2 linked regions of the Macaca fascicularis genome follow. The protein of the gene in region 2 purifies or fractionates together with the protein of the main gene of each other region. This does not show direct contact. Links are inferred from orthologs where the notes say so. Each region holds a gene or a part of one and is shown on either strand. Other genes may lie near its edges.

The links.
Region 1: the proteins of UBR2 (region 2) and UBE2B purify together in Homo sapiens (affinity purification with western blotting; 3 studies listed by BioGRID, with this or other methods). This does not show direct contact. The link is inferred for Macaca fascicularis from reciprocal best matches to the Homo sapiens genes UBR2 and UBE2B.

What each region holds. Positions count from the first base shown.
Region 1 is NC_088380.1:140,910,718-140,914,930, reverse strand, and holds the start of UBE2B (ubiquitin-conjugating enzyme E2 B), read right to left. Parts: upstream 2,935-4,213; 5' UTR 2,806-2,934; coding exon 2,762-2,805; intron 633-2,761; coding exon 552-632; intron 1-551. UniProt on the Homo sapiens protein: E2 ubiquitin-conjugating enzyme that accepts ubiquitin from the ubiquitin-activating enzyme E1 and transfers it to a E3 ubiquitin-protein ligase. In vitro catalyzes 'Lys-11'-, as well as 'Lys-48'- and 'Lys-63'-linked polyubiquitination.
Region 2 is NC_088378.1:128,860,122-128,863,766, reverse strand, and holds part of UBR2 (E3 ubiquitin-protein ligase UBR2), read left to right. Parts: intron 1-875; coding exon of another isoform or gene 876-879; exon of another isoform or gene 880-913; intron 914-1,000; coding exon 1,001-1,078; intron 1,079-2,972; coding exon 2,973-3,143; intron 3,144-3,645. UniProt on the Homo sapiens protein: E3 ubiquitin-protein ligase which is a component of the N-end rule pathway.

The DNA.
Region 1 (4,213 bases), on a different chromosome or scaffold from region 2:
TCCATTTAGTTTTGAGTAGTATCTTAAAAGTAAAACCCCAAGTGATTATAAAACCATATGTAATAACATCAAAGAGCAAATAAACTTTGTATAACTGCTGAAACTTTTTCCCTTTTTTTTTTTTTTTTTGGATAGCTGGCTGCAGCCTCAAACTTCTGGGCTCAAGTGATCCTCCTGCCTCGGCCTTCCAAGTAGCTGGGCACCACCATGCCCAGTTAGTTTTATACTTTTTGTAGAGACAAGGTCTCTCACTATGTTGCCCAGACTGGGCCAAAACTCTTTTTTTGGTGGAGAGGGGACAGAGTCTCACTGTCTCACTATATCGCCCAGGCTGGTGATGAACTCCTGGGCTCCAGCGATCCTCCCAGGCGTTGAGCTACTGTGCTGGGCCAAAACTCTAATTGAAAAAAATTTTTTTCTAATTTATCTTGCAGTTTTAGTCCTTAAGATCTCTCATTCTACCTCAGTTTCTTTTCCTAGACAGTTGTTATATGTTCACTTTTCTTAAAGATTCAGCACACACCTATTATTTGTTAAACCTTTCAACTCACCCAAATATAACTGCATTCCACTGCATGATGTTGTTTTCAGATGGTGCACCACTGACACCCACAGGTGGGTCCTCTTGTAACCTAGAAATCCAGCGTTGTAATTTAAAAAGTTGAACATTAAGGCCACTAAGGAGGCCACATAAACACCTACAGACACTACACCATCTATTTTGAGACACAGACTAACTCCATTTCCTTGTTATTGTGAACTAAAATGAACCATATGACTTAGATATATTAACCAGGTATATATACTTATTAAATACCTCTCCAAATTACCTAAAAATCCGAAGGGCTTGAGAATCATCCCTCTTTCAATATTATCAAGAGTATCTCTTCAAGAATTGATGTATATAGACTGTCCTCTTATACCAAAAAAAGTTTAAAACCTCAAAAGCAAGTAATATTTTTACAGAACCATTGATTTTGCTGCTCTAAACATGCAAAGACTGTGTATCCTAACCACGGCTACTTCTGCAAAATGGCTACAAGAAAAAAAAAAAAAGCAAACCTCAGTGTAAACACGAAATGACTGAAAACACATTAAATTTAACTAGGAAACTAGTATTAGGCAGCAGATTTACTCTATCCCTTTTGCTTCAAACAGCAATGGCTTTAAAAAGTAATCAGTAGGTTTTCCGCCAGTCCCTATTTTAAAGGCTCTGCACTAACATCAAATCTACCTCTCAAATCAGGAGACTCAATACAAGGCTTTCCCACATTCGTCATAGTCAAATTCTTGTAACCTATAGATCTCTGGAAAACTACAAAAGGTGCCATGTATTCAACTCAGAATTAAGCAGAGCATTACAGTAAGGAGCCAGGGCGACAATGACATGAACTAGTTTACTATCTGAATTTTAGTCATGAGTGCTAATCAGATACACTGATTTCAAGCTTTAGAAAAATGACTTTTGCACCAAAAAGGGCATCTCCTTTCAGAGACTGTAACCTCAATTAAAAATGCTACATTATACACACTCACAAATACATATGGAGTTGTTTTCATGGGGCATCATAATTTGCAACTAGTCCACATAAAAAAAAAGGTTTTTAGTCAATCTCAAGCAAATTAGGCCACCACAAACAGAAGCCTTAGAGGAACTGCACTGCTTGACGCCTACCTTTAAATGGCTAAGAGAAGCTACGAATGAATTAAATAAGTTGGCCAAATCCAAATGCCTCACATAGGCTTTATAATAGCTGAGAGGTGACTTCCTGAGCGACAAATCTATGTTTTTATGCTATTTTGTTCAATTAGGGTAGGTGTCCCCAGAAAAAATTTTAAGAAAAATGTGCAGAATATCAAAATGTTTTCTCACTTATTTTGTTTTTTCTACGTTATTTTGTTTTTTCTACGTCTCTAAGTATCCAATAAAAGGTAAACTAACGGAATAATCATTTTCTTCCTCACAACCCCAATACCTCCTAACAAAACCCTATTTTATTTACCAAAGAAGGCCCAGGGAGTATCAAATTAGCGCCAGTCTAAGGGAAGGCATTTTTCCAGACTCGGGAGGCTATAGATAGGGCTTTCTTCACCAGCCAGATCTGAGTTCCAGAAGGCACTGGCAGCCGGGGTGGCCAGCTCTAAGGTCCCAGATCTCTAAGTCAGTTCCCAAGGTCTTTTCAGGCGGGCGGGGACAGAGTCGGGTTTCGGGGGATGGGTTAACCTCCGAGCCTCACGCACTGGACCCCACCCTCACGGCAGAAATGGAAAGGACTGGCGAGGGTGGGGGGCTGGGGAGGTTCACCCCAACCCGGCTCCTCGGAGAAGACTGAGGGGCCGTGAAACAAAGCTGACTGGTGCTGCCGGAGAAGAACAAGCTCCCGCGGGAGCTCACTTTGAGGGGACAAGAAAGGGTCTCCGCAGGGTGCAGGGGCGGGAGGATGATGTCTGATCCCCGTCTGATCCCCTGGACGAGACCCCGGGCAGCTGGCCGAAATGGGCAGCGGGGAACCCTAGACCAGTCGATCGACATCGTTTTACTTTTTGGGGGGAGGGGAAGCAGTATCGAAATTTCTTCGGGCGCCAGAGCGAGCGGCAAGGATAAGGAGAGTAGGGGCCGAGGTAGGACCCGGCTTCCGCCAGTCCCCCTGGGCCCACAGCCGGCCCTCTGAGGGTCACAAGGGGAAGGTGTCCGGGATCCACGCCCTGCAGCCCCGCAGCTTTGAGAGGCCGTCATCTATGCGAAGCTGAAGGCCCTTACCGCTTGAAATCCCGCATAAGCCTCCTTCGGGCCGGGGTCGACATGCTCCGCAGCTGCCCCGCGGTCAGTCTGAAAGAAAAGAGTCCCGCGCAGCCCCCCCACCCCCCGGCGCGGCGGCCGAATCACTGTGGATCGCCGCTGCCGCCGCCGCCGCCGCCGCCGCCGCCAAGACTGACAAACAACCCTGCAATGACGTCTCCCTCCGCCGCCTCCGGATCCCTCCGCCCTCCGCCGCTACCACAGAGTGAGTGCTGGGGGAGGAGGGGGCGGGACGGGGGAGCGCGCGTTCCCTGAGCCCTTCAGCGGGGCGTGGTTCTTCCTGGGCTTCCTGAAGTGATCGACAAATTTGTGTTCTCTGTGTTCAGACTAGAGGTTGTGGATTCAGAGACCACGAAACCGACACACTATCCTGTCTGCCTCCCCGTCTCTAGTTTAGGCTCGGCGGGGTGGAGAAAGAAGGACGTATCCGGGCCAGGGATTTCAGGGAAAGGAGGTGGGATGATGTAAGATCACGTGACTGCCCGCGGCCTTGTCAACAATCCACCCCTGAGGGGGAGGGGGAGAAGTATCTAGAACCACGTGTCCCTGTGACGCGTTTAGAACGGGTCACGTGAGAGCCTCGCCTGGATGTGAGTTTCGGCCAGGTCTGTGAAGCGGGTCTAAGAGGGTGAGGGCTGGATACACCTTTATTAGTTGTTTTCGGTTTATCACAGGTATAGAGACATTACCCAAGAGGTCGTGGGAGGATCAACAGCTTGTTTTGTTTTCTTTAAACCGGGACCAAAAATAACTCCCCTCTGGTTGGTTCAGTGGCTTATGAACTCTGGTACTTGGGGCAAGAAGAGAGAGGATCGCAAGATCTTCTAAGGCAGCATTGAATACTGAGGGCCACACAACAATCTCCTGAAATGGTTCCTTGAAGCTACCAAATAGTCTTTCTGCTTTGCAGTGGGGTTTCTAGTATTGGAAATTCTGGGCAAACATTAAAGGATGGTGTATTATGCAGTTTTTCCTTTCTGGGTCTGCTTTCAATTGAAGATATGTGTCAGAGTCCGGGGACTTGCCTATGGGGGGGAGTACCATTGTATTTTTAAGAATGTGGGGGTGCAGTCTTCCAAGCATATCAATGAGTGGTTGGTTGTCAAAGAAACCTACAAATATGATTCATATGTGGGGGAGAGCTCCAGCAGACCTGAGTGAGGGTTATCTATCCAGCCTGAGACAACTTCAGGTTTTTTACACTAGCAAGAAAGGTGCAAATGGGCGAGAAGTGCCCCCCCACCACCAGGGGGTTCAGAGGTGTTGACCTCCCACAGACCTTGAATATTTTTTGTAGTTACTGTCTTTCCCTGTATTGCTGCTAATTCCTACTTTCAGGACTTTGTTATACTAAGGACTCTGAGTACTTTTGTATCCATTTGGGGAATTGTTCGGTTCAACAGGTAAAGGGAG
Region 2 (3,645 bases):
CTTGTCATTCACCTTCAATAACTATCAGTCAAATCATGGCCAGTCATTTCTTATCATTATTTTTCCTTCATTTCTTTTTACATTAATTCTATTCTGATTCTGTAGTAAAGTGTGCTCTACCAGATCCTAACAAGATGTGTCTCAACTGTTATTGTACAGGTTGCACATCTCTAATCCAGAAATCTGAACTTTGGAATGTCCCTATGAGCATTCCTTTTAAGCATCATGTTGGCACTCACAAAGTTTCAAATTACGGAGCATTTCAGATTTCAGGTTTTAACATTAGAGATAGTCAACTTGGATTAACAGTTGAGATGCATTTGTTATGATCTGGTAGAGCATGCTTTACTACAGAATCCAAACAGAAGTAATACAAATATTCCAAACTCTAAAGAAATTCAAAACCCAAAGCACTTCTGGTCCCAAGCATCTCAGATAAGGGATACTCAACCTATATCTCTTAGTTCTGGTAAATACACTGTCCATAAAAGTCAGAAGACTAGAGATTATCTGTCCTGTTTGTTTGCTTTTACACATCCGGAAATAACACTCCAATTTTATTAGGTTGGACCACATGAAATGTCCGTTTATAAGTCAAAAATGGTTGAATATCCAATTTCATGTGATTGCACCCTGATGTCAGAAAACTCTTAATAAATGGAACAGTAATCCTCAACCAGAAGTATACATCAGAATAACCTTGGGAACTTGAAAAAATACTCAGGCCACTACCTACTGAATCTAATTTCTCTAAAGTTAAAGCCCTAGCATGTCTATCGCCTCAAAATTCCCCCAAGTGATTTTGATACGATTAAGAACTACTGTCTAAAATAATCCCCCCTTCCGTTTAACTCCATTTCTTGTCTTGGCAATAGGTAAAGTAGTGAAAGGCCACACCGTGTTACCCGGGCTAGGCAGGTATGTGCACATGGAAGTGCCTCGTAGTATAATATGACCTAAATTAATGGAGCTTTTTTTTAATTTTTCCCTTTTTTTCCAGATATCCAAGAGAATCTAACAAATTAATAAACCTTCCAGAGGATTACAGCAGCCTCATTAATCAAGCATCCAATTTCTCGTAAGTTTTGCTGTTAGCATTGAACATCCCTGCCACTGGAAACACCTCTCTACAAAGAATTTGAAGGATTTTGTTGTTGTTCTTTGTTTTGTTTGGGTAGAGAAATCATATTTTAGTACTTTATGAGAGGAGGGAGAGAAAAAAGGGAAAAAAGAAGAAACTTGACCAGGCTCAGTGGCTCACACCTGTAATCTGAGCACTTTGGGAGGCCGAGGTGGGTGGATCACCTGAGGTCAGAAGATCCAGCCTGGCCAACTTGGTGAAACCCTGTCTCTACTAAAAATACAGAATTATCTGGGCGTGGTGGCAGGCACCTGTAATCGCAGCTACTCGGGAGGCTGAGGCGGGAGAATCACTTGAACCCGGGAGGCGGAGGTTGTAGTGAGCCAAGATCGAGCAATTGCACTCCAGCCTGGGTGACAAAAGCAAAACTCTGTCTCAAAAAAAAGAATAACATCTGTAGTACTCTATACTACGTAACTTATAAAAGCATCATTTCACTGTGTTTCAGAATAAGACATGGAATGGGAGTAGGAGGAGCAAGTTCGATTCATGAATGTTTAATAATTGCACCTAAAGTAATAACAGCCCTTAGTAATTTTTTTTTTTTTTTTTTTTTTTTTTTTTGAGACCAAGCCTCGCTCTGTCACCCAGGATGGAGTGCAGTGGTGCCACCTTGGCTCACTGCAACCTCCGCCTCCCAGATTCTAGTGATTCTCGTACCTCAGCCTCCTGAGTAACTGGGATTACAGGCACGTTCCACAAGGCCCAGCTAATTTTTTTTGTATTTTTAGTATCACCTCGGCCTCCCAAAGTGCTGGAATTACAGGCGTGAGCCACTATGCCCAGCAGTAATTTTTAATATAGTATCAAATATTTAACATACAAGCAGCATAAAGAATAATAGGGGAGGCTGAGGTGGGAGTATCACTTGAGCCCAGGAGTTGGAGGCTGCGGTTAGTCATGATCGTGCCACTGCACTCTAGCCTGGGTGACAGCGAGACCTTGTCTCAAAAAGAAGAATATAATAATGTAAGAGCTTAAACATTACCTAGACAGTTGAAGCTCCCCAGCTGTCTCTTCTCTGTTGCCTCTTCCTCCTCCCTCTGAAGATACCTACTATTCTAAATGGAATATTAAGCATTCTATTCCTATACATTAACCATAATAGGTTTATGTTCCTAAACAGCATATATTGTTATTTTGCATGTTTTTATTTTTTACTCTTTTTTTTTTTTTGAGACAGAGTGTCACTCTGTTGCCCAGGCTGGAGTACAGTGGTGTGATCTTGGCTCACAGTAACCTTCACCTCCCAGGTTCAAGTGATTCTCCTGTCTCAGCCTCCCAAGTAGTTAGGACTACAGGTGCGCGCCACCATGCCTGGCTAATTTTTGTATTTTTAGTAGAGACGGAGTTTCACCATCTTGGTCAGGCTGGTCTCAAACTCGTGACCTCAGTTGATCCACCCACCTTTGCCTCCCAAAGTGCTGGGGTTACAGGCGTGAGCCACTGCACCCAGCTGATTTTGCATTCATTCAGCACTGTTTCTAAGATTTATCTGCATTGACATGTATAACTTTATTGATTTTTCACTGCTCTACAGTATTTTATTATATGGCAGTGGCACCATTTATCTTTTTCTTCTATTGATGATTTTATTTATTTTTTTCTCCAGTTATTGATTCTTTTGAGTGTTTCCAGTACATGGTCTCTGTATATATGTGCAAGGTGTTTCCTATTCCTGATTCTAGGAATAAATTTGCATAGACTGTAGGATATACGCTGCTTTGGCTTTACTTGATATTGCAGAATTCTTTTCTGGGCTGGTGTTTTCTTCACTAGCTTTTTAGCCACTCTTTAGATCAATGACTTGTGGGTTTTTTATCCCTTGGAGGTGCCCCAAATCAGGTGGTGATAAGAGCAGAGCCCCAACTCTGTGCCTTGTGTGTGGATCTCTGCTGTGCTCCCAGAGTTACTGCTGCCAGACTGAGCTGGAAGGGGAGGATGTAGGAGCCTGCACAGCTCACACCTACTCCTGTGGCTCTGGAGTGGGCATCTTCCTGAGGTAAGGACCTGCAGGGGCTTTTTGGCTTTGGATCTGCCTCAGTATCTGACTGTTAGGGTGTCACAGGAAGCTATTGCATTGCCAGGAATTTTGAGAGCACTGTTCTGTGTTTGATTCATTCCAGAAACATGGAGCTCCTCGTCTCCTCACATCTCACATTTGGCCCGTGCCAACTCTGTGTTGGTTCTTTTATTGTCACCATTCCCACTCCTCTTCCCCCAACCATAGGCGACAGTTCTGTACTACTTTCTTCACGTCTCCCGCTAACATGAAACCTCTGATTTTGTGTACAAATCCAGTCAGAATTACTTTCTGTTGTGTCCTCATGTCCTCATGGCTTTTGGATTTTACCTCCATTCGTACATATTATCACAACTCTACATGCCAGCTTGTGATTAGTGACTACTATGTACTAGGCATTGAGAATGCAATAGTCCGCAGTGCAAAGATCTCTGCCCTCATGGATGGAGCTCGTTTTCTAATGAGAGAGAGGACAAGCAAG